4 linked regions of the Alligator mississippiensis genome follow. The protein of the gene in region 4 interacts with the protein of the main gene of each other region in a pairwise test. Links are inferred from orthologs where the notes say so. Each region holds a gene or a part of one and is shown on either strand. Other genes may lie near its edges. The genes, in order: USP13, MYBPC3, GMEB1 and TRIM63.

Evidence for each region.
Region 1: the proteins of TRIM63 (region 4) and USP13 interact in a two-hybrid assay, tested with the Homo sapiens proteins (2 studies listed by BioGRID and IntAct). The link is inferred for Alligator mississippiensis from reciprocal best matches to the Homo sapiens genes TRIM63 and USP13.
Region 2: the proteins of TRIM63 (region 4) and MYBPC3 interact in a two-hybrid assay, tested with the Homo sapiens proteins (2 studies listed by BioGRID and IntAct). The link is inferred for Alligator mississippiensis from reciprocal best matches to the Homo sapiens genes TRIM63 and MYBPC3.
Region 3: the proteins of TRIM63 (region 4) and GMEB1 interact in a two-hybrid assay, tested with the Homo sapiens proteins (2 studies listed by BioGRID and IntAct). The link is inferred for Alligator mississippiensis from reciprocal best matches to the Homo sapiens genes TRIM63 and GMEB1.

The regions. Positions count from the first base shown.
Region 1 is NC_081830.1:80,510,016-80,516,877, reverse strand, and holds the start of USP13 (ubiquitin carboxyl-terminal hydrolase 13), read right to left. Parts: upstream 3,006-6,862; 5' UTR 2,918-3,005; coding exon 2,762-2,917; intron 1-2,761. UniProt on the Homo sapiens protein: Deubiquitinase that mediates deubiquitination of target proteins such as BECN1, MITF, SKP2 and USP10 and is involved in various processes such as autophagy, endoplasmic reticulum-associated degradation (ERAD), cell cycle progression or DNA damage response.
Region 2 is NC_081825.1:228,230,823-228,238,416, forward strand, and holds the start of MYBPC3 (myosin-binding protein C, cardiac-type), read right to left. Parts: upstream 3,018-7,594; 5' UTR 2,945-3,017; coding exon 2,920-2,944; intron 1-2,919. UniProt on the Homo sapiens protein: Thick filament-associated protein located in the crossbridge region of vertebrate striated muscle a bands. In vitro it binds MHC, F-actin and native thin filaments, and modifies the activity of actin-activated myosin ATPase.
Region 3 is NC_081829.1:10,106,591-10,113,960, reverse strand, and holds the start of GMEB1 (glucocorticoid modulatory element-binding protein 1), read left to right. Parts: upstream 1-4,350; 5' UTR 4,351-4,439; intron 4,440-4,702; exon of another isoform or gene 4,703-7,030; intron 7,031-7,370. Other genes in the region: discoidin, CUB and LCCL domain-containing protein 1-like, read right to left, coding at 634-712. UniProt on the Homo sapiens protein: Trans-acting factor that binds to glucocorticoid modulatory elements (GME) present in the TAT (tyrosine aminotransferase) promoter and increases sensitivity to low concentrations of glucocorticoids. Also binds to the transferrin receptor promoter.
Region 4 is NC_081829.1:3,277,097-3,284,544, reverse strand, and holds the start of TRIM63 (E3 ubiquitin-protein ligase TRIM63), read right to left. Parts: upstream 3,001-7,448; 5' UTR 1-3,000. UniProt on the Homo sapiens protein: E3 ubiquitin ligase. Mediates the ubiquitination and subsequent proteasomal degradation of CKM, GMEB1 and HIBADH.

The sequences.
Region 1 (6,862 bases), on a different chromosome or scaffold from region 4:
ATCTACTATAAAAATAAAATTTGCCATTCAAGGGCCAGAATAAAACACTGGCAAAGCAGCTGGTTTTAAACAAATCTGCAGGGACTTGTGTTATAGTGACAAATGCAGTACTAGGTGTCAAACAAGGAGGACAAGAGGGTATAAGGAAATATTATGTAAGGTTGTAAATTATGGGGGGAAATAGTTACTTCCCAGGTTGAAAATGCAACCAGCAAACCACCAGATAAGAAACCCAAGAGGGTATTTTGGTAAGGGTTCTCATTTGTTTTAATGCTCCAGAATCAAATCTACCTTCCTCTTCCAAAGACAGAATAGACATCTAGCCCAATGCTGCAGCTCCCCGGGGTATCGCAAGATCCTTTCAACGGTGCCACACACCTCATGCAGAAAGCAGAGCTGGACCGAGGAGTGGCGATGGCAGGAGCAGGCCCTCCTGTCCGCATCAGGCTTATTAGCTGAACCTAGGATAAACTGAGCAGCATCCTGGTTGAGAAACGCTATTGTTGCACTGTCTCCGCTCAACTCAGATAAGCTTATCAGATAAACCTAGGGTAGGCAGAAGCGCTGAGGTCCTGTTACTGCTGCTTCCCAGCCAGGGGTTATGCTCCACATAAGGGGAGCCTTCAGCTGGCAGCAGCAGCACCCCAATGAGAACCACCAAGGTAAACTGAGGCAGCACAACGGTGGCTTTTAACGGTGGTGCCACTAAATTCAGAAACCTTCTGAAGGGGCGCCCTGAATTTAAAAGGGCTGAGAACCACTGGCCCAGGCAAAACCCAATACACAGTCGTTCATGTGTGCCAACCTGCAAGAACACGTTACCAAACCAATTTAATATGAAGTATGGTGCGGGAAACATCTTCCATTAACTATGACACACGTGTACACTTAGCTCACACATTTACATTGTGGAGAAAGCAATGAAGTGTTGTCGTTTTCAAATGTGTACATGGCTTTACGGGGTGCGTTAGCTCAAACAGGTTTGATGACTAGAGTCAGAGCTAGGTTTAGAAATAATACCAGTGAGCACTGTCCTAATCACCCAACCCTCCAATACAAGAGAGGACACTGGAATAAATCTTCTGCCCAAAGGCACTGAGGACTGGCACTGGACAACAGATACTAAGCCCAATTGGGCTCTCACTGCAGCTGCATGGGTACAAGCAACTTCAGCATTTGGCCACTCTGTATTTACAAACTTGTATGAAGAAGGAGTCTTATCATGGCACAATGTAAGATTGGTCTAAGCATTGGCCTAGTGGCTCCCACTGAACGCAAGAGGACTTGGGCACTCGGAAACTATACCTCTATATTCCACTTACATATGTTTTTCTGTTAATATTCAGTCACCTGATCTCTTTTTTTCCATTTCATTCGTAATTTAGCAGCTTTGCCTGTCAGTTAACACAAACTTTTTACCACAATGTCTCGGAGGTCTTGACAGGTTACTAGATCCATTAATTACATGCTAGATCAAACAGAAAAGTAGCAAGGGAACACTGCATCACATTGATTTCTGTTCCCTCCACTCCCATTAAATATGTAATAATTCATTTCTTTGTTGTAGCATCTGATCTGGCCTTTTTCGACATCCCAAAGCAGAGAGGGCTGCTGGTGACACTTGAGATCTCAAGTGTATGGGTAAAAATAACCTGTCCTCAACAAGACATGATGAACACCAGACAGCTGAGTCACCTCTGAAACCCATTTGGATTCCCCAAATTAAAGTGAAATATCAAAGCAAAAAAAAAAAATACGAATTGAGTTAAAAATCAGAATCGCGCAAACATCTGAAAACTCAGGATTACAGATGTTGTGCTTCTTTTTGATTTCTCTCTGGCATATTGGGCAGGGGGCTGGACTCGATGATCTTCCGAAGTCCCTTCCAGCCCTAATGTCTATGAAATGACACTTTAACTTGATGTCAATGCACAGTACTCACCTTACTTATGGAAAACTATATTAGAAGCACATTCAACTTCAGTGGATTTAAAACAGCCTTTCACTTCCCTTACCTATCATCTAAGTGGAAGGATTTGATGCCTCACTGTTGATGTTTATAAGCAATGAAGAGAATAGCCAAGACCCCAGATCCTGCAACCGAACCCAAAGAAGTATGTTGTTTTACATGGGCGCAAGTCTCTACATGGATCCAATTGCAATATCAGGGCCCAACGAACATGTGATAGCATCGGAGGCCGCACACACCAAGCAGAGACCTGACAGCCAACTACACAAAAAAGGGATAAAAAATGCGACTCTCCTGCGGGTTATAGCGATGCCCCTGTACAAAACGGAAGAGGTAAATCTCAGGTAGGGCCGGGGGTTTTTTAAGTGACCGGACATTTACACCGAAGGCCACACTACGGAGCATCCCGCTGACACAAAATACATGAATGGGGACGCTCGCTGCCCGTCGCCAGCTCTGCAGGAACGCAAAAACCCAGCAGCGACGCGCAGAGCCGAGGGCCCCTGGCAAACTGCCCCGAGCCCCCTCCAAAAACCGCCACACCGGCGCCCGCTCGGTGGCTTCGCTTGCTCGGGGAGGACAAGGAGGAGAGAAGAACCGGGGGGCACTAGTCCACCGCCGCCCGGAGCCTGCAAAATCAAACCAACCCCCAGCCTGGGAAACCCAAGGCCTAGTGCCAGCTGTGAAGGGGGGGCAGCGAGCGGGGGATCCCCCCACTTGCCCTTTGCAATGCCCCTAGGAGCGGAGGAGCCCTGGCTTGCCCTGCGGCGAAGGGAGGGGGGTCGCACTCACGGGCGAGTCGTAGGAGAAGGCGCACTCCGCCTTGTAGACGCGGTCGCCGGCCTTGGGCACGCGGATCGTGGGCATGTAGGGCACCAGCATCTCGCCCAGGTCCGCCGCCGCCATCTGCGCATCCCGCCCGCCGCCCAGGAGCGCGGCGCGCTGCATGCTCCCGCCCGGCCCCGCGCCCGCGCCCGCAGCCCGCGCCGCGCCGCGCCGAGCCGAGCCGAGCCGGGCCGGGCGGGGGAAGGGGGGCCGCGAGGGCGGCTGCTATTTTTAATCCAATGGCAGCAGGAGCCGCACCAGCTGCCGGGCCGGGGGCGGGGAGGTGCCCGCCGGGCCAAGCCGGAGTGACACCCGATTCCGTGCCCCGCCCGCTGCAGCGCCGAGCACCGCCCGCCTGTGTCCAGCCCCGCGCCCGGCTCTAGGCCGCAGCTCCTGCGGGCTCGGGCAGGAAGGGGGAGAGGGCTTGCTCCCCTTTGCCCCGGGGGAGAGGCATCTCTGGCCTGGGTGGCTCCTGGGGTGCCGTTGTCTCCCCCCAAAACTAGGGGACAATCCCACCTCTGCCCGGGCCAGGGGAAAAGGGCAGACCAGGGTCAAGGCGATCCCTTTTAGCACACCGACTCAAAAGAGGTGGAAATGCTCTTGTGGCCAGGCTCCGAAAGCTGTTCTTAGCTGCGCCGCCCGCGTCCTAAAATGAACTTTCCCTGCAGCCAGATCCATGCACCCTCCGCGTCCGCGTATTGAAATGATCCATGTACCGCTGAAATGATCTGAGCGGAGGCCGTTGAACCCGCAGGATCGCAGGCGGATCGTGATGAGACCCCTTCTCGGCTTTAGAGGGCTTCGCAGCGCGCGCCGCCGCATCAGATCTCGCCTGGGGGAATTTCGGCCAAATCACAAGACCCAGAATAAAGATTTCTCCCCCCCCCGCACCCCTCCTGGATCTTGGACACTGTTTTACAACCAACTCGTTGTCTCGGGACTGTGCTCAACTGCAGAGATTTCCTAAGGCAGTGGTTCTCACGCAGGATGCCATGGCACCCTGGGGTGCCCCAAGACCCTTTCAAGGGTGCTCCGGGGCTGCCACGCAATGTTAGTGCTGTTAGGTGTGAAAACCACGTTTCACGAGATAAAGCCAGAGATTTCAACTAGGAATCTGGAGTGTTAAAAACATTCCTACTTGTTGTGGCCTTTACGAGTTATTTGCAACAGGAGAATTGCTGGGGGGGGGTTTCTGTAGGAAAAAATTTGAGAGAAAAATAAGAGTTACTGTTTTCTGAGGAGTGCTTTGAGTCGAAAAAAACCGAGAACCACTGGTCTAAGGTATTATTATAATCTATTTGTTGAATAGACTCCAAGCTATATCATGGTCAAACTGCGGCAGGTGTTGGATGACCCGACAGAGGACATGCAGGAAGCCTGCGGCACTGCTAGGGTATGAACCCAGACTTCCTGAGTCACAGGGTAGTGGTCTAGTCCAAAACCATATTTCCTTTTCTCTGGTTCATTTATGTTCTTCTCATGTTGGAAGGGATGTTGATGGGCTAAAGGATAGGGGGACTCTGAAGATAATAACAGGAGTGGAAAGAAGTGACTAGTGACAAATTGAAAAAAAAATCTGAAAAATGTATCTAATTATTTCAGGGATTTTTACAATTTGACACGAGTCACTTCTTTCTGCTCTGGTCTACAAAGATACACGATGGATAGACCATTACGTGACTCCTGCTGCTGTTACATACAGTTTACACTGAGGCCCTTAAAGTGCAAGCAAAGTGTTTACATCAAGGGATGAAGAAACAGAACTGTGAAATGCTTCGTGTGGAAGCAGCGCTTAGGGTGAAATGCTTAATTTATAGCCTTTTAAGAAAGTTAGCCCTTGTAGCATTGGAAATTGTGTGTTAAATCCTGAGGGCATTGTATAAACTCAGTAGAATTACTCTGGACCAGTGATCCCCTACCTTGCTTGCTCATTGGCAACAACACTGAGCAAGCAGCATGTTGCATGTTGCTCCTGCTGTTAACTTTAAACTTTTCAACTTCCTATGGGTGCAAGTAACATCTTCTCTGTGAGCCAGTGGAGACCACTGCTCAGGACTTACCCGAGAGCAGCATCTGTCCTGGTAGCAAAGGATCTGTTAGGTATTGGAGAAAGAGTCGAGGGTTCCGATAGAGGGATTTCTTTCAAACTGGAAAGGCTCATGAGCACATAACTCCTCTCTTGCTAATAACACAGCATAATGGAATGATATGAACAGAAGCCACTTAACCTGCAGGAAGATAACTGGCAGATCACAAAGAGCTTGCTCTAAAGACCCCGTTGGTTTTAGTGGGCTTTACAGCATTTGGCTGCAACAGAAAAAACAAACGAGGTTGTACTTATTTGAAATAGTCTATGAAGCATGGAAGAAAGAAGGTTATTATCATGAAAAGGGAATGAAAGAGGGTCACTTCTACTTCTGTTGGTAAAAAAGGATCAGAAACCCACCGGTCAGTAATCTAGATTCAATGTGTAGCGATCAGACCCTGAGGAAATGCTACCCCCTAGCGGGAAGAATAATGCCTGCCAGGCTAAAAAAAAAAAAAGCCGCTTAACAGTAAGTACACTTTACAGTCATTTAAACTTGTGCAGTGCATCTGCGCCTCTGTACAATTCTGAAAATGTAAGATGGTGCAAGCACGTGTGCCCTTACGGTGCCAGAGTATATTTTTACAATTTAAAACAGCGATTGTTGCCCTAGGGTGTCACATCAGAAGGATGGAGTGATGACCATCCATCATTGCACTGGGCACTAACACAGAAAGGTTGACACACAATACAGCCGCTAGCATATCTGAGACATTATTGGATTATCTATAATAATTTTTATCACCCTGCCATCTGAGCACAAAAAAAGAATTGTCCTTATGCCCAGCTCTTACAAATTCTGACCTATTTAAAATTATCTTTGCTGAAGAACATTTCCCTCTTTAACATCACTCAAATCTGCCCTTTGATGTTCGGTAAAAAAAGAAAAGAAACAAACTAATCGCACAACACCCACCCTTATTATCAGCATTGTAACAGGAAACTCCATGCTTCAGTTTTAGATATGAACTTATTTAACCTTTAGTTAAGGCATAATCTATATTCACTTATTGAATTTTCTCATTAGATGGTTGCTTGAATAAGACCTAAATGTAATTTTGGATTACAGTCTGCTTTTACATGCCACAAAGTGTTCCCCAATTACTTTTAGGCAAACTAGACGAAAAGTATAAAGCTTTTATTGCTTCGTAAATGTTTACATTTTTAATTAAAATAATTAGTTATGTTCTTCAGGGATCCAATATGCTGAATATTTTAATCCATAAATACCCAGATTTGACTTGCTGTTTTTTGGGTATGTAGAGTAAAACAACACTGCATGTATTATGCTCTTGTTTGGGCTAATTTAGCACATGGGGAACAATCAGAAATATTCCTGAATGCTTTTTTTAAAACAGATGTTTAAAAAATTAATTTAGAAGCTTGCCTAATCAAGCATCCAACAGTGTTGCACATTTGAATTATCAATTAGGTTTTTAAAATACGAGATGCTGCATAGGTAGCTCATTATCTTGCACAATTCTTGTTAATAGAACAAGGGATTCCTAGGTCTCATTTTCAGCTGTGTTCAAATTTGGGCACACCGCTTCCCTTAGTAAGAGTGGATCAATGTCAAGTCCACTGGGCCCGAGTTTGAACTATTAACTGTTGTGTATCAGTACAGTTCCCTGGACCTTGCCGCTTGTTCTTCAGCCATCGTTAAAGCTTTTATGGAAACCTCCATCAACTAGCTTCCTACTTTTCTCTCCTTAGTCCACAGACAGTTCAGTAGAAGTTGGAAGCTTCTCCCTTTTCATATGCTACTAGCATCTTCCTTTTTGCATTAATAAAAGCTGAATAACCTATCCATCATAGGGAATACCCTTAGTTTTAATATTTGCCCATTTGGGTCCTTCAGCATGTGTTGCTTCAAAACCCAGCGTAAGAGTAAAAACCATCGGGGCGGGATTCTTCAAAAGCACCCAAAATGATTTAGGACCATAACCCTCAATAAAGTCAATGAGATTTGTGTTCCTTAATCC
Region 2 (7,594 bases), on a different chromosome or scaffold from region 4:
TATATTCTTCATTATTCTGTATCAAAATGCCCTGAAGTATTGAAACACAATGAAATGGAGAACTGGCAGCACTATTATTTCTTGAGACTGCAGGGATTCTTTTCAGGAATTATCTGACAGATTTGGATTAGGTTTTCTATAAATGAATTAGGCATTGGACCTTTCCTTTTCCCCTTCCCCTCCCCTCCCATCCCCCTTCTGCCCTGGGATTAATCACAGTTTTTGTACCGTCTCTGTCTAAGCCAATGATTCTCAACCAGGGTGCTGCAGGGTGTCACTGTTAGATGTACAAATGCCTATATGATTCACAAGATAAACCCAAGATTTCAAATAAAACTATGGTGTCAAAAATATTTTGACCTGCTGTGTTCTTTTAGAATTCTTTCCAACAGAAGAATTGCTCTATTTTTTTTCCATAGTCAAAAAATAAGTTAATGCCAGTAGATATTAGGCAGCATTTTCTGAGGGGTGCCTTGAATCTAACAGGGTGTGCCTTGAGTCTAAAAAGGTTTAGAACCACTGGCCAGAGATAAGAGCCACACAGAGTTACAGCCATGAAATAGCTCAGAGAGTCAAATAAGATTGGAAATAATGTGTGTGTTCTTCTTCCACATTAAGTGGCAGAGCTGGGTAGCCTTACAGCAAGACAGAGGGTCAAGTGTCTCCTACCTCAGAACATTAATCCATATACAGGATTTAGTGATTATGGTGAAAAGTACTTTAAAATTCAGAAATGGATTTGCTCAGCCAAAGGCATGATGAAGTCTGATAATTCTGAAGCTATGCAACCTCGGAGAGGAGACTATGGCAAGTATTGCTTGTCATCATGTTTCTCTTTCTCATTATTGCCTATTCTAAGCATTTGGAAAGCATAAGGCAGGTATCAAAAAGATTTGACATTGCCTAAAAATCATAAGATTTTTAAAATAATAAAATTGGGGAGTATTTTTATCTTTTGGTTTTCTTGAGACTTTAGGATTTATATTTTTAAGCTTGTCTCTTCAGCCCTGAGGGCTGGAAATGTGCTTATTTTGTAAAAGAGAGCCAGAATTTCATGGTCACCTGACTCCAGTCATTTGACTTTCAAGAAAAACACCAAATACTTTACAACATGATAAAATTGCAAGAGTTGGCAACAGTGCTTTCCTTTCAGAGACATAGTGAAAGAGGAACTTAGAAAATCTCATTTAAGTAATCCAGTAGTTAAGTGTTTTGCAGTTCTGTAGAGCAAACCTAGGTTTGAGTCATATCCTGCCTTCTGCAGTAGCTAATACCAAGTATTCCAACCAAAAGTGAAAGCCCTTCTTAAATCATTCAGTATCCATTATTCAGTGTCAACCATGTTAGAGGAATGTCAGATCACAAGGAATCTGGTGGAACCCACAAGAAGCATACTTCCTCCATGAAGAAGACGACCAGGGGCCTTGCTTAAGTTCACATAGGATGTCAGTGGCAAGGCAGGGCAGGGAATGGAATCAGGGTCCCTCAGGTTTCAGGCTAGGACCTCTAACAATGGGCCATCCTTCCTTTCACCTTCTTAATAAAGGTAAGCAATTTGGCAACTGTGGGCATGATGGAAAAAAATCCTCCCTAGCTATTATAACAGCAGATGTATGCCAATTCAGGGCTTTATTAAAGGGTACCAAGGCATACAGCATCTGAGAAACACCAGTCACATGCTACTGACCCCCTGTGAAGTGCTTGTTTTTAAACAGTATCTAACATGCACACTCCAGCACAAACACACCTGTGGAGCGCATCAAGGGACCATACTCAAGGGTCAGGAACACTGGATTTATACCAATGTCGCTGAGATGAGACTAGCTCTAAAAGTCAAGGTGCACTCTCAGCCTTAGTACTATTTTCTGCTGCATGTTCCCAGTACACAATTTGCAAACAGATACAACTTTAACTTTTAATACCTATTTTTCTAAATTTAATTATGAACTCAGAGTTTTCAAATATCCCTCTTTCTCTCCCCTCTCATAGACAGCAACCTTCACTTACCTCTATCTTTTATGGGTCTCCTCTTCCTTGCACAGACAGATTCCCTGCAATTTCCACCTCCTTCCCATACCACCTATCACTCTCTTCCTCCATGCATAGACAGGTGGCCTGTGACTAACTGCTTGGTTCTCAGGAATGTCCTAAATCTCATCTCAGTTCCCTTCCACATGTTTCACTCTGGGGGGGAGGGGAGGGGGAGGTTGAACTCCCTCCTTAATTGTGGTAGAGTCTGTTTTGACCTTGGTTTTTGTAGATGACTAGTTATCTGCAGGTTCAGAGGTAGAGGAGGTCAAGAAGGGAGTATGTATAAAATCTACAGCATACCCTCTATTTCTTCAGAGCTGGGGTGTACTTACTTGCCAGAATTACACAACTGAGTCTCTGAGAGACAGTAAATATTAATCAGATGCTTTGAAGCTTCTCTTCACAGTGGAAATTTCGCACCCAAAAATTTTACTGGAAAATACCCAGAAAAAGGACTGGGAGTTACTTCTACTCCCCAGAAAATTCCCGGGAGAGAGAATGCACATTTTTACTGGCGAAGTTGCCTAGTAGAGAAACTGAGCGGTGATAAGATTTTGAGAACAAAATAATTTAATTTTTGTTCTTTCCCTTTACTCAAAGCCTCTGGAATGAATTCTGTACCATAGGTTTTCAGAGACAATAATTACTCATTTTCCTGGGGTAGAATCTAGCTCTTTTTTTTAGATTAACTTTACAAGGTACTTTCTCCTTATTATTTTCCCCCAAATACTTTGTCGCTGGCTAAAAATATCTGTTATTTGTTTTTTCAATTACAATGGAGCTAAGCTGTCTCACTTCTGTAGTACAAGGAGATCGTCTCTGCTTGGAAATCACTCTTTCAGTCAGACTGTGCTCCACCTCTTTTTGCCTCTTAGTTGTGGTCCTTACCTGCTTTCTTCGAAGGCTCTGGCATCTTGAACTTTTGTCTCTTGAAGCTCCCAGTAGTGCCTAGAAACCAAGATGCGTGCTAAACTGGAATGAGACTGAAAGACTTTTGAGACCCCACTAAAGAAATCCTGCTCCTCCCCCTTGACCCCTCACTCTTGTCATCAATTGCACCTTATCAAGAGCAGGGCACACTTGACAGCATGTTTCAGCCAGGATAAATATAGCCAAGTTCCAGGAACCAGAGAGCTCAAACCACCCAGGACTGGTTGCTGGTGCAAACTCCAAACCCAAGACTGATGCTGCACATACATACATGTATTCTAGTCTTTAGGCCATTTTTGTAATTATTGTGTAGTTTTTTTAAAATGATCCTTTCCTACATTTAGCTCTTGTCAGTAGTTGTGTCAGTCCTGAACCATCCTTCAAGCCAGAGTTTAATGGTTGATTATTCTCAGGTGTGAAATGCTGGGTCACTAGATCTGATTCTGGACTTTCAAGGGGAAACCAGTTACTCCACCCTGTTTTAAAGTTTTGACTTTCCTCTCAAGCCTACTTTTTAAATAGTTTCTGCTATATAAGTATCTTTGGAGATGAAAATCTTATTTCCCCCCAAGTCTCATATAAAAACGTAGCATGAGCGAGCAAGACATATACTCGAGATCACATTTTGCTGAACACTGTATAGAAGTTCTTGGGAATCCTCCCCAGAAAGCTTGGGACTGCACTTCGTGCTCCAAGCATTGCTGTTTGTTTATGTGTTTTTTTGGCACAAGTAAAAGTAACGACCATGCAAAATAACTTTGATGACTTTGCTTTTATGGTTTTCCTGGCCTTGTTGTCTACTTTTCTCATTTTACTTGTGGGCTTTTTGGAGCAGAACCTGTTTGTGCACAGGATCCAGCACATTATAGAATAGAAATAATAAAAATTGAAATGGCAAAAAATGATTTTTTGTTATTATTTTGATTGTTCCCACTTGCATAGGCCTCAATTTTCAAAGGACTTCTGCTGTAGACTTCTGAGAGGAAGCTCTGGTTAGTCTGTTGCCTTCTTGGTCCACCATGTAGATAGAATACTGATGACAAGTAGTGTTAAGTGGGTGTATTTAGTAGCCATGTTGGTCTGAGACAAATTTTAGCCGATTTTGGATTTAAACTTCATTGCTGAACAACAAGAAAGATTCTACACCTCTCAGCCCTTCTGCCATCTGACACCACCAGGGAAGGAATCCTGCCTTATCTACACATCAAAGAGCAACTCCCAAAGGCACTCTCTTTGACCCAGAGGAACAGACTTCCACCTTCAGCTTCCTCTGTGCAAAAGGGGACCAAGTGCTTGCACTGGCCAGGCCAGAAGGTGGGGGCACTTCCTCATGCCTCCTAGCGTACAGGACATTGCCAAGGGCAGCCTAGCCCAGCTAAGTGGGGCCATCCCTGATTGGCTGTCAGATACATGCCCCCAACCCCCTGCTGTCACCACAGACCCTCTGGTGCACCCAACCCTAGGCTCCCAGCACTGGTTGCCATGGCAGCCCCAGAGGGGGGCAGGCGGGGAGGATGGAGCCCTCTGCCCCTGCCCCCCACCAGCTGGGATTTACACAGCCTGGGGGCTCCCTGCAGTGGGGGCTTCTCCCCCTACATATCCTGGCCCACTGCCTCATCCCAGCCCTGCCCCCATGCCAGACCTGGTCTCTCAGTTTTGGACCTGGGGCAGAGGACTCTGTTCCCAAATGACAAATTTGGGTTGATTTGCATGTGAGATGATTGATTTAGGGACTCAGTCACACACAAAAGGCTGCATCCTTGTCAAATGCAAAATATGGGGGCACTGTAAGATGGCCACACAATTTTAACCTGGAAAGAACAATATACGTTTCCTTAGTCTTTTCTTGGAAGTGGCTGAACTGCTGTAGCTAAGTTTTGACCCCTTCTTCCCTTCCCTTCCCTTCCCCTGCACTGCCCCCCCGCCCCCCCACCATCCTAAAAAAAAAAAGTAGCCTGAGGAAGATAGTTGGCATGTAAGAATTCTGCCTAAATGATTACATTTTGGCAAAGCTACAAGCAACTGGGCGCATCTACACATGTAATTAATGCGGAGCAATAAACTCTGGCACTTATTGCAGCAGGGTTTATTGCTCCTGGGCATGCCATTTACATGTGTACCCAGAAGCACAGCATGTTCAGCCAGGTCAGAGTAGCCTTGACTGGCAGGGGGTCCTGGGGATCAGCCTGCCAGCCTGGGACTGCTCTGACCCAGCGCAATGCACTGCAGAGGGGCTGGCTGGGGCATGAGGGTGCTCCAGTGTGGGGCTAGCTGGTAGGCAGCCCCTGCACTGAAGCACCCTTGTGCCTCAGCCAGCTCCATCCCCATCTCCATGTGTAGTGCTGCAGAGTAAAAAAAAGTCTACGTCAGGAATTGTGGAATAATTGTGAAGTTAATTAGTTTCCTCTACACTGCATGTGTAGATGTGAGATGTTTACTGCAGAGGCAACTAGAGTAAATGTCTCCTGTAGACATGCCCACTGAAAACAAGAATTGTTCTCAAGTTTTCGATTGGCAATGCTACCAATGCAGGTTACTACCAACTCTTTCTATAAATAATAAATCCTAAGGTTTCAGAGCAAAAGTCAAGTACTGTTTAGTGTTAGGACAAGACATCACACAAACTGTTATTGCAAAAATTTTAATATAATTTTGTTGTAAAGTATCTGGCATAAACATGGTCTACTAATCTAAACTGATTTAGGAATCCTGTGAGTGAAAAGAGGGGACTTGCCATTCCCTTTTATTCATTGCTCTGGAAGATTTCTGATTAGATTAATTACATTTTGCCTCCCTAAATCCTTGCTTTACTTTCATGTGAACAGCAGGATTCTTCCTTCATTGGTTTCTTCCTATAGGGTATTTATACACATGCATAAGCCTCAGTGGCGCATGCTTTGAAAAGTACACAACGCTGTGGTGCATGCAGTTGTATAACCCGTTAACGGTGCATGCCCATCAACGCTGAGAAAATGGTGGTGGTGCGCTTTTGCACTAAGACGCATCGGAGGTGCTTTGGTTCAAAAGTGAACCACCATCATTTTCTGTGCATGGATGCACATTTCACCACTTACACAAATGCACACACCACAGCACAGTGCGTGTCAGCTTGCATGCAGAGCAGACTCAATTAATTGAATCTGCTCTGACCCACTGGATCTCCGGTGGGTCCCTGCACAAAAATGTACGCGTATAAATTTTCTAGCACTGCTGTTCCGTATTAATAGCTATTGAAAACCAGGCTAGAAATGTCTCTATTTGCATGACAAGTGAAACAATCCTTATAATACAGTTAATTCACAAACCACTTTTGGTATTAAAGGCACTTTATAATTATAAATAAACGTAAGGCAATATACAACATTCTAGAAAAAATGTATAATTATTATCACTGCAATGCTGCCACCTGGTAGCCAGCAGTGTAATAGCAGGGAAAATATTAATTGGTATCAGCAAGTTTTTCCCCTGGCTTGAAGAAAGAAATATGCCAAGGAACATATTCCTTTCCAAATGTGGAATGCAATTATTTCCACGTATCAGGTCAGTCATTCTTGTGACTGTATTTGACAATGGTGATGGGATCAATTGATACTTTTCACTGTCAAGCTTAATTCTAAATCTGGGACACAATGTGGAAAAACAACCTGTGAAGTTTCTATATAGCAAAATATTTAAATTAAGTAGATGCCTAATTTTAAGCATATGAGTAGTCACAATGAAGTCTGTTTTAAGTTAGATATCCACTTAACTACTTACTGAATTAGGGCTTAATGAAGTGAATGGAATGGATTCAATAAAGCTCTGAGCACGAGAGCCAAACAATAACATTGCACTGTCCAAGCCTATTAAAGGATTCTCTACACAAGAGGATAAACTATTCACAACAACTGAAAATGATAAACCAGATAAAATGAGGAATGGTTATTGAAAAAGAGAAATATCTGGAGCTAGAGGTGTACCAATACATTGGTCCTATATCAGATCAGGACCAATATAGGGAAAATTGAAAGCATCGGAAATTGGCTTTTTTTGCCTGATGCAGCCGATAAAGTGGCTGATAAATGCCCCATGCACGTGCACAGCTGCGGCATTCATGGGGTCAGAAGCGCAGCCCAGCAGCTTGGAGACCAGCATCTGGCTGGTAAGCCTGGGGTGGAGGAAGGGGTGGGGGGAGGGAAGGGGCATGGAGGGGGGCAGATTGAGGCCCTTGGGGTGCGGGAGGGAGTGGGACTGGGGCAGGTGCTGCTCAGGCAGGGTAGGGAATGGGACGGAGCCATGAGCAGCTCCTCCGGGGGTTGCAGGGGGGATGGGGGGCAGCTTCCGCCACTGCACCCCCCCAGGAGGGCATGCAGGACCATAGATCTGCGCAGGGCAGGGTGAGGCAGGCTGCCACTGTGGGCTGAGTCCAGAGGTTGTGCCGGGCTCTTCCTGGCAAGGGCTGGGTTAAACTGCACTGCACTCCAGGCAGGCGGTGGCAGTACTGAGAGGGAGTGTTGGCAGGACTATGGCAAATTTTGGCGTGGATGCAGTCCCTGTCCCCTCCACATAGCCCTGCTCCCAACGCTCCCTGAGAGCAGTGCAGCCTGGCCCAGCCTTTGCCAGGAAGAGCCCAGCACAGCCCCTGCCCCAGCCC
Region 3 (7,370 bases), about 6.8 Mb from region 4:
ACTGCTCTGTGCTGTACACAGCTGTAAGAACCGAGAGAGTCACAGGATCCAGTCCTGTGTGTCCTTGTCTAGCTTGTAATTCATAAACATGCTACCACCAAGCCTCTGGCAAAAGCAGCATCCGAAACAATCGAGTTAGACTTGAGGATACTTGTCTAATAAAAGGTATAATTTCTGAACCAAGAGTTTTGCACACAATGTATGGGAAGTCACCCCTTTGTATCCTAGCCTGGGCACATTACTGCGCACATCGCACGCTCCACCAGGAACGGACAAAACTCCTGGTGGAGGCAGGAGGAGCGCTTTTGAGAAACAGCTCCATCAAGCCACCTCGCCCTCCGTGTTCATCTCTAATGACACGGTCACACGCGCGCAGGTCTCCGAAGCAAGTGCTGCTACCCCACCCCAGGCATTTGTCTCGGCTCCCTGACTTCTCTAGGGCAAAGCACCCTTGGGTTGCCAAAAGGCCTCGCGCGAGCCATGGCACGAGAAACGCCGCTGGGAGAAGGCGGCCGCCCAGGACAGCACAGCATAGCCGGCTCCTCCGCACCCACCTGCGCCCCTGCCCGGGACAGCTCCCCTTGGCCCGCCCGCCCCCGGGGAGACCGACTCGGGACCAGGGCTGGGACTTACCTGCCTGCCCCCTGGCCAGGGGCCCCAACAGCTGGAACAGCTGCAGCAGCAGCAGAGGCGCCCGCAGCCGGGAGCGCATCGCCGCCGCCCCGGGAGGCTCCGGCCCCGCAGCTCTGCAGCCCCGGGCGCCGCGGCCAGGCTGGGAACCGCGCTGCCGTCCCACCCCCGTCCCCGCCTATCGGCGGGAGGCGCCGACCCTTCCCCCGCCACTGGCCCCGGGACCTGCCAGTCACCGGGCGGAGAGGCTGCCCCGCGTGCGGGGCCGGGGCAGGTGCGGGCGAGGGGCAGCGCTGGAAGAGGACCTGGGGCTGCGGTTTCAACTAGAAGCCTCCCACACCGACACCGCCTCCTAGGGCATCCCCAAGGGCTGAGGATGGCAGGGATGCCACCCAAGGGATGGAGGAAAGGGGCATCAGGAGCTACTGAGCGCGGGGGAGAGGGGCAGGCATCTGAATCAGAATCTTTTTTTTTTTGGTAATGAACATTGTTCACGTTCCAAGTCAAGTTAGCCAAATCCATTCCAAATCCGTGACTCAGTCGAGAACCGTGAGTGGCCCTACTACCCGCAGACATCCTCCACCCCCCCTGGGGCTTCAGATGTTTCCAAGTCCTTTGGCGGGCATCCTACGTGCAGGCCCAGGCCGGGAGGCTTGGGGGCTCCCGAGTTTTGCTTGAGCTTAGCCATAAGGTGCCAGGAGCAAGCCAGGGAGGTGTCTCCCATTTCCATCAAGTTGGCATAAAGCTAAGGTTAACTATACACCACTACCCCCATGCCAGCAGAGCAGTTTTCCCTGGGTGTGCTTACAGAAAACCACCTTGGTGGTCACGGTGTTTTCCCTGCCAAGTAAGAACTTCCCTAGACCGTCAGTGCTGGAGGCTGCAAGTGAGAGAGGAGCAGTGGGGAAAAGCCAGACCCAGTTGGCTCTCCCTTTCAGCCGCTGCTGTCTGCCCCTATGTGGCACAGGAGACTGGGCAAAGCAGACTGGATCTGATGCAGTCAGTGGTAACTGTTCTGTTATGCTCTCTTGCCCAACCACCTTTGGGAAGGCACCGGGATCCAAGTCCAAATTTTGCAACCGAAGCCTATGCCTCCACCAAGAAAGCAATGGTGCCTTTCCATCCCAGTACACACCTCATCGAGACGTCTGCAGCCTGCAAAGAGCATTGGCAACACACAGATACAGTGCTTTAGTGAAAGAGGGATAAAAGACACACTGTGGAAGTCTGAGGGGGCCAGGGCCTGAAGCATGTGATTGGGAACTGGGAAGCTCTGGCCACATCCACACAAGCAGCAGATTGTGTGGATGCATAAGCAAGTACTACATCTACTGTGCAGTGACAGGCATTACTGCACAGTACCATCGCCACATTGCTTTTTTTCAGATGCTACTGCACAGTAGCAATGAGCTTGTAACTACTGCACAACATCATCGCCACACAGTTAGTGCCTGCCAACACTACTGCATGGTAGCTCATTGCTACCATGCAGTAGCGTCTCGTGCAGATGTACTGAGTCCTAATCCTGATTCTAGCACTGCCTTCTATTGTGTGGCACTGCTTTTGCATGGCCCTGCTATTGGGAACTCAGTGTGAGACATCTGAAACCCGAATTTTAAAGCTTCTGAGCATACACAAGCCTTTGAAAGTAAATGGAAGCAGTGAGGGCACCACATTGCTGAAAGTCAAGGTACCCAAAAATTGGAACTACTCAAAATTTGTGACCAAATAACTTGCCTGAAATGGCCCACAAGAGTCTGCAGCACAGCTAGATACACAGCCTAGCTTTTTGTCAGATGGGAGTAGGGAAGGGTTCAGTGGCACACGGGCCTAGCTCATTCTTGAAGGATCATAGTGATGACTGCCCCTTGCAGATTGTCTGTGCAAAAGAAGAGATTCCCTACTGATTTGTGTCCCCTTCACATAAAAAAGCTTGAGTCAGGGTTTATTTGCTTATTCCAGTAACACTTCAGCTATCAAAGGAATCCTAGGTCCTCTTTCTAGAGCCACCTCTGATCAGTTATGGGTAAAGTTCACATTGCCCTCATATACCCAAGGCAGGTATGCAGGGCCAGCACGGATACATGGATTGCACTAGTCAGGGTGGTGGCTCTCTGCCTGTGCATCTGCCTGCATTCTGTCCCCTGTGCGCCTCCAATGCACGGTGTAAGTGTGGCACCGATCCTCTGCACCAGCACCAATTTCTTCTACTGTTTCTCATGCTAATATCTCTTTCTCTCTTCCGTGATAGAAGCAGAGTAAAATTTAAACCAGAAAAAATGTCCAGAATCTGGCACCTTTTTAAAAAAGATCAAAAACTGGGAAATCAAAATTTCACCCTCCCCTGCTCCCACCCCCTCGTATTCAGTATTTAGTGCTTCACATCTATTGAAACAGCAGCTCCCAGGTTCACTAGCTATCGGCTGCAAAATTCTCTACTTGGATAGATTTTGTTTGTATTAATATATTTTGTGTTCCAGGTCAAATCAGCCAGAATCAGTTCCAAGTCATATCAACTGAGCAGAACTCAACTCTGCTTGGACAGAGGCTTGGCCTGGCACCAGGATCATCACACCAACAGGCCTAGCCCTTGGCGCCATCGTGTGCTCACGGGCAGTACAACAACATGGATCTATATTTTCAGGAAAAGCCTTGACTGGTTTCTGGGGTGTAGGTTGTAGCCGTGTTAGTCTAAGGACAGAAGCAGACAAAGTTCTTTGGGTAAATCCTGTATCTTGTATTAGACCAACTAAAAAAGTTGGAAACATTCATTTTAGCAAGCTTTCAGGCACAAACACCCTCCGTCAGGCTGAGGAAGCGTCTGCAGATGGTCTGCTCTCTTCCTGGATGGAGGGGCAAAGCAGCCAGAGGCCAGTCCATGTGCACTGGTTTCTGCCACTTTCCGCAGCCCTGGGACCAAATGTGTTGCCTGACTTTTAATCCACGTAACCCAGCTGCCAAAATGAAGCGAGGCAGCACAAAAGAAAAGGAGAAAGCCTTTTTTATAAGGGCAGGAACTGGTCTCACTGTCCAAACGGCGAGAGGAGCGGTTAGGCGTGTTAGTTTGCACCAAGCCAGGGCAGGGCGGCATCGTCCAGACTATTCAGGTCCCTTCCATCCCTAACTTCATAGGAGTCTATGTAAGGTATAAGCTTTTGTAGACGCGGGCCTACTTCATCAGATGCCAGGAACGTCCCCGTTGTGCATGCCCTGGGGCTACCGCCACCCATCCCGGAGGCAGTAGCCGCCTTGCTGGAGGGCAAACCGGGCGACCGCCCAGGGCCCCACACTTTAGGGGGCTCCAAAATTTTGCAATATTTTTTTTATTTTTGGGAGGGGCGGAGGGAGTTACTAAAAACGTTGTTCTTTCTTCAACTTGTGAATAAGTTTCCTGCACAGGGCAAAGTAAAATTGAAATAAAAAATGGTGTGAGGCAGGGGATCCATGGTATGAAACGCGCATCTTGCTCCAGTTGAGCAGCAATCAAACGCTTTCCTGCTGTGCCTGGGGCCTAGCACATGCCATCCAGCTGCGGAGGGAAGCCAAAACCCGGGGGACCGCAGCGGCAGAGCGCAGCAAGGGGTGGCACAGCAGGCGGGAGGAGAGCCCCACGGTGGGGTGCAGACCCTCGTGCCACCCCGGCCGCTAGATGGCAGCACTGAGCACCCAGCCCGGGCGGGCAGGAGCCCCTGCTCCGCGGCCCCTTTAAGGCAGGCGGCGGCCGGAAGTGCTGGCGGGAGAGCTGTCGCGGCTGCTGCGCATGCTCACTCTTCCCCTCCCCCAGCCCCGGACTCGGGCGTTCGGAGACGGTAAGAGACGGAGGCTGCCGCGCTACGGGAGCCGGGAGGGGCCAGGCCCGGACGCGGAGCTTGCGGGGGGGGTGGTCCGGCCGCAGGGGGAGGGGGCGCCCCAGAGCGCGTCGCCGCGTACGTGCCGCCGCCGGGAGAGCGGACGTCGCGCCGCTGCGGGGGGGGAAGAGGAGGAGGAGGAGGGGGGGGGCTGAGTCGACTGCGTCCGCCCGCCCGCCTAGCGCGAGGGGGAGGGGCGGGAGCAGGGAGGCCACGCCTCTCCCTCCGGGGAGCCCCTCCCATTGGCTGCTGCGCGCCGCGGGGGGGCGGCGTCCCCCATTCCCTCGGCGCCCCGCCCCCAATGCCTGCTGGGGGTGCCATGAGGGGCAGCGGGGCCTTGCCGAAGCCCGCAGGTCACCAGCCTGGGCACGGGCTGGGTGCAGGAGCCGGGCAGAGCACAGAGGTGCTGGGCTGGGGGGCGCCCAGACCACAGAGGAGAAGCAAAGGGTTGCTAACACCAGGGGAACGAGCCACCGACTCCCTCGGCACGGGGATGAGTGTAGGAGCACGTCCGTCAGGTGTGGGATGGAGGAAGGGTCCAGCCCCCTGTCGCCCCCACCGCAGGGAGTCCAAGGGATGCCGTCCCCAGCGGAGTTAGGGGAAGGCGAACGTGGCGGGTTTGCGCGTGGAGAGGTGCAGGTGCACGAGGCGTTTTCACTTCTGCGCAGCGAGGCGGGAGAGCAGCTCGTGAGACGATGGGAGCGGGTTCTGCTGAGTTTCGTCAGCCGGCCCGAAAAGCTTCCGAACGTGGCGATCGGGAGAGTACGGACTCGGACGTGCCGTAGGTGAACCGAGCCGTCGCATCCCCCTGGGACCGAATCTGCGTGTGTTGCGGTCACATAAAAATCCCTGTCTTCGGATGATGCTGATCCTCAGGCTCTTACGGTGCTGAGCAGGGATTGCAGGTGTACTTCTGCCAGTTGCCAAAGCAAGTGAATTCGGATGCATTGGGAAACCTTACCCAAGATGTGTCCTCAAAAGGATGGCTCTTCCTGGTTGTGTCTGATCCTAGGGCAGGGGTGGCCAGTCTGCAGCTCCAGAGCCACCTGCGGCTCTTCAGAAGTTAGTATGTGTCTCCTCGAATCTTTGCACAGGCGTGCGGTGACCAGCTCCCAGAGCCGTCACGTCACGTCACGTCGTGCGCTTATGCAAAGATTTAAGGAGCCGCCTGTGGCTCCGGAGCCGCAGGTTGGCCACCCCTGTCCTAGAGACTTTGATAAACCATAAAGCTGGAATTCCCTCATACAAGATCTTTCAGGCTTCATCTCCCCTAGATACATATAAGACCAACCGAGACAACAAAAAGCTTGACAGCAAAAGAGGACCAACCTGGGGCTGATTAAATTTTTTTTTTAATTTGTATCCAAGGCCAAATTACCCAAAAACTAATTCCAAATCCAAGAGTCCAGAACCATAAGTGGCCCTACTACCAGCAAACATCCTCCACCCACAACTGGGGCTTCAGATGTTTCCAAAACCTTTGGCAGGCATCCTACTTGCAGGCCCAAGCCCAGAGGCTTGCGGTTCAGATGTCCCCAAGTTTTGCTTGCCCTCAGCCATAAGGCCCTCACAGCTGGGGCTGATTAGATACTGATGCATTTTTGAGCAGGTCTGTGTTGAGCATCTTGACGGGCCCCACCATGGTGGGCCACTAGTTGGTGGCCACCTGCAGATTTGTAGTCGGGTTATATTGATCCAAAGACACTGTATCAATTTGAAATGACTAATCTGGTTTTTTGAAGCAGGGGTGTATGTTTTTTCAGTTGTGCATTACATTTGGGCCTAAATGGATTTGGCTTAGTCTTGGCTTACTCTCTCCTAGCAAGAAATGCCGCAGCTGGAGATCTGTCACGGAAAAAACCCTGCCTCCAGCAATCCATTAATGTCAGCATGGGTCTCTCCAGCTGCATCGTTCCTGGGGAGAGTTAATGATGTAGAGGCCTTTGTGGAAGCTGTTCCATGTGTCAGTGCTTGCAAAGGAGAAGACTCTTAGGTCATGCATGATAAGACTGTAGAAGACCAGGGGGAAAGCCAACCAGACTGGGACAAATTTGTGGAAGATTGAATTAAAGCCTGGACCACGATATACACATGATGTAATTTGTTTTCCTCTCTCCATAATTGTTCAAGGCAAGGACAATGAAACAAAATCAGTTCGTTTGCTAATCAAATTATGTTTATATTTTTCTGTGTGAGCCCTGGAGAAAATTCCAGTCAAGCGCAGCCAATACCAAAGGTGTTTTCAGCAAAACACTTTCCTTTATCAGTTTTTTCTATGAAGGCCTATGCTACTACTTACATGCAGCAGAAATGGTCTGGGCCAAGTATTTTACTGATAGGAAAAGACAATATCATCAGAATACCTGTTAGGAATCTTGCAACTAGGGGAAAATAAAGTGACGTCATCTTAAAACCCACTCTCTCTGCACTCCTGCATCTGTCGCCAAAACTCAACCTGTGTACACTAACTCTGACCTAGCTGGCAAGTTTTTTGCAATGATTGGTCCAGAAACCAGACACTACAGGCAGTTTCATTTTGTGTTTCATCTGCGGTATGTATGGTTCAGTGTGTTTTACTGTATCTTTGTGATTCCAGATTAAACATTCCCAAAACTTGATTGGTAAGATGGAAGTTGTTCTCTGCAGTCTGCTTATTTCCTTCAGCAAAAGCCCAATATCCCTACTCTTCCTGTGGTAACTAGTTCTTCCCTTCATTCACCTTCAGATTGAGACTGTGCCTCTCAGCTTGTGCTAGTCTAGTCACATGTTAATAGCTTCGGGATGATTGGCAATAAACCCAGAAATTGTTGCTCTTTCATTCTGGCACCTGAGATGGTACAAACAGCAAGTTTGGAGGTTTTAGTTCTTTTCTGGTGCTGTCTCAGACCTGAG
Region 4 (7,448 bases):
CAGGTGGGGCACTTTCAGAAGGGCCTGGGCAGACTAGATCCCTGCATCCAAGGCTCTCCAGGTGAGCGCCAGCAGCTGTCAGCATCTCTGCTCATACAGGCCATACCCTCTGCAGCAGAGGTCTGAGCTGCCCCTTGCATAGATGCTCCTCCTGGCTTGCTGGAAAGCTGCTTTCCAGGCACAAAAGGCATCCATGCTGCCCTCAGCACTGCAGGCCTGAATGCACTCGGCTCCTGCAGCAGCGAGTATAACTCCCTGCAGATGAACTATTTCTTGCTGATCGAAGCTATCTGGGGCAAGAAGTTTTGCTCCTAGCCCCAGGACGCAGCAGTTCTGTGACTGGGGAAGTGCCAGGGACCACTGCAGCATGACCAGGCAAGGACTATTCACTGCCTGCTTCATGGACGGCTCTGCTGAGGAGCGGAGCAATGGTTCAGCTGGTCAGCGGCAGAGCCAGGGAGGAGGATGGGGAAAAAGGAAGAAGCCACCCTGACCCCGAACTTCCTCCACTTCAGTCCCCGATCGTGTCAAGTCCTGCAGTCTAAAAGCCCAGAAGCATTTGGTGCTGTTCCTTGCTCCATTGCTTCCAGGAACAAGGCCACACTTGATCCCCTGATCCTTGTGATCTCCTGGGATCGGAGAGCCCTGCCAGCTTCATCATGTGCATTGGGGCCGCGTGGGTCCCAGAGCCAGGACACGGCCTGTTGTTTGTTGTCTTTTATTGCAGGAGAGTTAAGTAACAGGTCTCTGTGGCCAGCTAGGCACGGCACAGCTGTTATTTAGAGCTGTTTCTAGGCTGGCAACCGCTCACATTTCAAAGTGTGAGTCGGGACCTGTGGTTTATGTCTTCTCTGCCTCCCCTTCAAAAAACACCAGCCCAGCAAACGTGTTGCAGTACAGTCCCTTCTTCTTTGGGGGCCTGTGTCAGGGTCTCACCTTCAGGCTGCTCCTAAACCAGCGATTCTCAACCCGGGTACCCCCGAGATCCTTTTGAGGGTGCCCCAGGGCTCGACATGATAAGCACTGTTGGGTGTGCAGTCACCTACACGGGGTTCACACGACAGCCCCAGGGCTCTCCAGAGGGTCACAATCACCCTGCCCCATTGCGATCGGAGATCTTTGCAACAGAATTGCTCTAGTATTTTGCTGTAGTCAAAAATGGAGCGAAAGCCAAGAGCTAGCATTTTCCAAGTAGGGTGGGCTGGGGCCTAGAGAGGTTGGGAAGCACTGACCTAGATGATAGCTGCTTGGAAGGGAAAGCTTTGGGGAAAGGCTGAAATCTCAGCCATGCATGAAGCAGTTTCTGGATTTGGTATCAGCCCCTGAGGAGCTGGGGAGCCAGCTGTAGGCCAGGCGAAGCTTGCCAAAGCAGCCTAGCATGAGGATGTCAGGGAAAAGGGTGAAGCCACATGGTGAGCACGAGCATCAAACATGTTAGCAGAATGCATTTCCATGCTGAAGTGGCTGCCATTAAGGCTGGTGCTTCCCCCTTCTGCAGCACCTACTACCTGGGCATCTCCAAGTGCTTGGACAGCCCAGCATAAAACCATGAAGTAGTCTGACCAACATCGCACCGAGCTGAAGCAGAGGCCAGTTCCCCCAGCTGCTCCACTATTTCGACAGGCAGCCAGGATCCAAGCCCGCCCTGGCAATCCAGTGGCAGTGAGAGGCATGGACACCATGCTTGGGAGAGGTGCCACCTCGGAGAGGTTTTGCTGCAGGATCAGGCCACGCTGAAGTGCTGGAAACTGAAATGCAACTCAGGGGCCCTCAGCATGTGGGCTGCTGCCAGGAGCACAGGGCACAGCTGGGGGACTCAAGCAGCCTGTGTCTGCTGCACATGAAGGTCAAGGCCCTTTGTCCACCAGTCCATCCTCCCCAGTGCCCATCCAGCCCTGCCCTGCACCCCTACACCACTGCACTTCAGCCACCACCTGCTCCCTTTCCAGCCAGGGGCTTGCTGAGGGTGCCGTGGGGGGCACTGTGCATTGCAACGCAAGGCTGCATGCAGGGCTCTCCCTTCGCACGCAAAGCAGAGGGCCCATCTCCTTCAAGAAGCTTCGCTGCCTGACCTACCTCTGAGGACTTATAGGCACTGGCTGGCAGGCTCCCACCCCTCCTCACACTGCAGGCTTTGCCTGAGAGAATTTGCACTTCCCAGCCATCAGCCGCTGTCTGTCACTCCTGACTCATCAGCAGCTCTATATGGAGGGCATTAAAGCCCAGTGCCCAGCCCAGAGAAACTGCCCAGGTCAGCTCTTCCTGCCAGGCCTCTGAGCTGCTGCTTATACTCACGAAACCTCCTGATCCAGCTCCATGAAGCAACAAACAGAGAAGGAGTTAAGGAAACTCATATTAAGGAATAACATGAATGCAGGGGAAATACCTAGATCTCGTGTTTTCTGCATGAGAATGCTATTCTTTCCTCCCTTAAAAGCATCTCATCACAACACCTACCTGCTGCAACCTGAAGTGACCCATCTGACACAGCTGAATCCTAATCAGTGAATCCTGCTGGTAGCTAAACTCATTAGTTCTAGATCAGGCAGTTTAGACCCAAGTAAATGAAGGTAATATGCAGTAGCTGCCTTGGAAATGGAGCGAGTCTGAAGGACTAGTCTAGTGTGAAATTGGTTAACTAATTGTGGATAAAACTGATTAAGAAGGCTGGATGGGCTGCTCTGGCTTGGGCAATACTAATCAGCTTCAGGCTGGCTGCCTGGAAGAGACTAGTTGTGTCACTAATTAGCTCTGGCTAGATTAGTCAAGTCTATAGGATGTGCTAATCAGTGCTGGACAGACGATCAATTAATCTGGGTGAGATCTGAAGGGAGTTGATTAATCCAGCCTGAAATTAATAACAACCTTCCATCAAGGAGAGGAAACCTAAAATGAACTAAATGGCTGAATAGGTTCAGAACGAATCTCTGACGACTCAGCCCTGCCACCCTGGGCTTTTTATCCAAGCAAATCTGCATTAAATAATGCTAGCACCGCTCATCGCCTGCAGCCCACACACCAGACCCATCCCCGATCCAGTTTCACACAGCTCCACCTCTGCACGAACCCGCTCGCAGCGGGGAAGAGAGAGAAACCGCAGGCTGGAAAGCAGAATCCAAGGATCCATGTATTAGCCGGAGGATGGGAGCACTGGAGCTTTTCCTATCAAGCTCCTGGGCCTTTATCAGAGGCACTGGCTCAACAGGGGAGCCAAGGGAGTTGAATGAATCTCCGACTGCCCAGGCTTCCAGAATGGGAGCAGAGATCCACGGTGTTTCTCCTCCCCTCCCACTGCTTTCCCCTTTTATTAGCTTGTGCCAAAGCAAATCATTTCATATCAATTTTCAAACAGCTGGCAGCACGGACTGTGTAGCAGGGCGTCCCTGCTGGCCACTGTAAGGCGCTGCCGCCCTGCCAGCGCCAATTCAGAACCTGAGCACAGCGAAGGACAGTCTGAACCCACCTGGGGAAAAAGCGGGGAGCTAGAAACGAACAGCCAGGGAGCCGACCAAGCACAGGATCAAAGTCCTGAACCTTGGGGCTCTGGTTTTTTTACTGCAGGAAGCGTACAGAGAGAACTTGGACCTCAAGGGCCAGTCTGTATCCACCTGTCCCCTACCTGTAACAGGAGGGGGAGCAATTCGGGGAGGAGCTCATCACCTCCGTCTCCCTGGCCCTGCTACAGCATAAATCAGTCAAGCTCATTTTCTTGCTGTGGGTCTGGAATTGCTTGCAGAGGTATAAAGCTGGGCTCCCCACCTCCAACTCAAAGTGCATTGGAGTGCTTTTCATAATGACCTAAAGCCAAAGGCTCGGGTCTACAGCTAGATTTCAAGCCCATGCTTTTAGCTTTCTTTGGGATGCCAGGTCCCACCCACAGTGTAGGTACAGATCCAGAGCCCCTGCCTCTCAGGGAGCCAGACACTGTAAGGTTACAAGGCACAGACCACTGTGAGCATCTAATATGAACTTCCACCTAACACAGGCCTGAGTAATTCCTGTATTGAGCCACTCTTCTTGCAGCTGAACTGGTTCAGAAGAGAGGCCTGAGGCTAGACTCATGCTGGCTGGCTGCATTTGATTTGGATCCATGGGGGGAAAAAAGGATTGAGCAAACAGACACTTTAAATTAATTATCCAGGGTGAAGGTTTCCCCTTATTAAACCACGTGGGTATCTGTGTAAAGCAGGGCAGACGGCTGGATGTGGTGGAAGGCCTCACCCCATGGATTCTCACTTGATGCAGTCACTGGGAAAATCACCTGCAAGATCTGTTTTTCTTCCAGAGTTTCACATGGCTCCAGAGATTGGCCAGGGAAGCCTTCACCTCCGTTGCAAGATCAAATGCAGCCCAGCTCAGAGCAGCTGTCAGTCCTGGTTCATGGGTCCATGCAGGGCTCATTGCATTTCCCAAGTAACAGGTATCCATGTCACTGGAGTCAGACCCAGGATAGGAGTGAATGGGCCATGAATCCTCTCCCAGGTCTGCTATCAAGACAGAAGGGTTTGTGCAGCACACAGCGAAGAAGCCCTGCACTGGTACTGCCAGTGCCCACCTGGATCCGCTCCATCAGCCAACAGAGGGTCTGTGTCCAGAGACGCTGGTGCTGTCCCTTGCACAGACCAAAATATTCGTTACGGTCTCAGTGACAGGTTTCAGGCCAGCCTGGCAGTGCCAGGCATCATCCCTGCTAGACTGAAGCTCTGCACCGAATAGAGCGCTCCCACTGGGCCTGATTTCTGGCAGGACCCCAGAGACGGTCTGTCTCTGTCCTGCCTCCAGAAGCGCTTGCCAATCTGTGCTGTAGCCCAGACACCACAACACGACCTCTAGTGCCCCAATCCCAGATTATTTACCCCCGGCCAGAGGATAGCTGCTGTGACTATTCTCAGCCCCATGCCCTTAACTGAGGACTCGCGGGCCTGGCACATCTCCCTATGCCAGCCTGAAAAGAAAAGCTGTGGCTTAATCACAGCCCACCCCAGCAGCTAAATAAACCAATGACCCAGGAGCCAAAAAGCTGGGAAGGCGTCGGCAGATCCCAAGCACGTGCTTGCACATACATGCAAATTATGGTGTAGTAATGATGATGCTAATGCCCTGCAATAAGTATATTTTAAGCCAAAGCCCTGCAGGATAAAGACTGCTCTCATCCCCGTTCTGTCGAAGTGAAGAGGACAGAATCAGGGCCTGCTTTTCTGCTCAGCCCATCTGCTTGTCCCATGGACCCATCCTGAGCAAGGCTTGGGATTTTCAGCTCAGTCACCTGATGGGCGGTGGGGGCTTGCTGCTTGGGCTGTGGTCTGTTATGTTCTTCCCAGCCTGAGTTTTCCTACCACGCTTACACAAATGACAAAAGAGATGGGTTTATTTCAATGGTGATGTGCACGGGGGTGCATGCGAGCCCCCTGAGAATGCCAGTGCACCCCCTGATCGGTCACGCTTGCCACTTAGGTGATGGGTGGGGGGCAGGCAGGAATGCCGGTGCCCCCTCTACAAGTGCTGGCTGATTGCTGCAGCCGCTCCTAGAAGCGGCCACGGCCACCCCTGGAAGTAGCTGCGATTGACTGCAGGGGACCCTCCCCCAGGCATCAAGACTGGTTGCAGGGGGGGCACATGCCCCTCCAGACTAAGGCGGCACCAGTCACCCATGGTCTATTTGAATGCCCACTTTATGGAAATGGAAGACTCCTCCCTAGCTTGTTCCTGCGGCTGTACGGTTGAGGGCAAGCGAAACTCGAGGGCATCTGAACCCCAAGCCTCCGGGCGTGGGCCTACGCGTAGGATACCCACCAAAGGATTTGGAAACATCTGCAGCCCCTGGTGGGGTGGAAGATGTTTGCCGGTAGTAGGGCCACTTATGGTCCTTGACTGACTCACGGATTTGGAATTGATTTGGCTGATTTGGCTTGGAACACTAAAAAATGTCTTTACAAAAAAGATGGGTCTATTTGAAGTCAAAGCAAGTAGAAGCCGCCTCCCCTGAGACTGCCTCGATACGTGGCAGGCCCTTGGCTAATTCCCGTATCCAGAACTACTGCATAACTCCCAGGGACCAAGCATGAAACTGAACTGATTGAGCTGTTCCCCCCCCCCCAACAGCAGCCAGATCTTTTGGGTAATTTAGGGACCCCATTAAGGGCTCAATTAGCCGCTAGATGTCACTGCAACTTCACTCAAGGAATTTGACCCGGCTAAAGAGACATCATCCATTTATAATTCAATCTTATGGGAAGATCATCACTTATCATCTACTTCTATTTACTACGGTAACAAGGAACAGTGGATAGCTCCAGTCCTGTAAAGATTTATGCACGTTCTTCACTTAACACCTGTTGGTCAAATATCTGAAGCATTTGCAGTGTGTTGTCTTGATAGTAAGGATAAGCGTATAGTTTATAAAGGTGTACTAGATGTTAGAAGTGTGCTAGCACTACGGATTGTATGCATTACAGACTGGCATTAAGCTCATCAGTAGAAAGGGTTATAGCTGAACTACTCGCGAGCAATCCATTACAATTGGTTAAACGCTAATTATAGTATCCACTTAAACTTTTAAATGGTTTCTTAGGTAACTCGCCACCATACGGTGGCCTCCATTATCAAGCATACAACCCACAGCGAACCAGGCAGCAGGTTTAAAACAAACGCTGGGAAGCACTTTCTTACACAAGGCATGAAGAAGCTGGGGGAAGCGTTGCCGCAAGATCTGGGGGAAGCCAACGGTATCACCAGCCAGGTCAGAACTGAGCTCAGACTGACGCTGGAGGATGGATCTGTCAGGGGCTATGAAGCCCAAGGGCCAGAGAGCCAGTACACTTCTGGGGCTGGGAGGGTAGGACGGGGTGAATCATTCTACCCTGGTTCATAAACTCTTCTTTTAAAGCATCTGTTATCTGCCACTGTCGGAGACCGGGCCTTGGGCTCGCTGGTCTGGTGTTCTTCCGGTTTCGTTCACCCCCTGCGGCAGGATGGCGTACAGAAAGCTGTGCAGAGCACAGTTTAGCGCGGGATTGAAGATGCCCCCACTACAGCACATGCTCTCCTCTTCTCTCAGCCCCACCAAGCACGGACGCTGCCCGACAGCGGTTCCTCGGGGTTTAGCACATAAACCTGCGGTACAAGAGACTCGCTGTCTCAGCCGGACCGTCCTGCTTTCTCCTAAGAGCGTGGGGGTAGCTCCATCCAGGGAATGCAGATCGCCACCCACGCGGCCTTCCAGACTGCGTCCTGGAGAGGGGACCGGACCTGCAGCCGTGCCCCCTGTCCGGAGGAAGAGAGGGCCCAGGCTCAGCCGTCAGAAAGGGCTGTTTCTTGGCCAAGCTGCTTTCTTCCTCCCTTCCGGCCTGGGCTGGGACAGGATCTCAGACTAGGGAGATGTGATGCCCAGCTCAGGCAGAGCAAGAACCAGCCTAGATCTAGACCAGGACATGTCTGCTCCCTCCGTT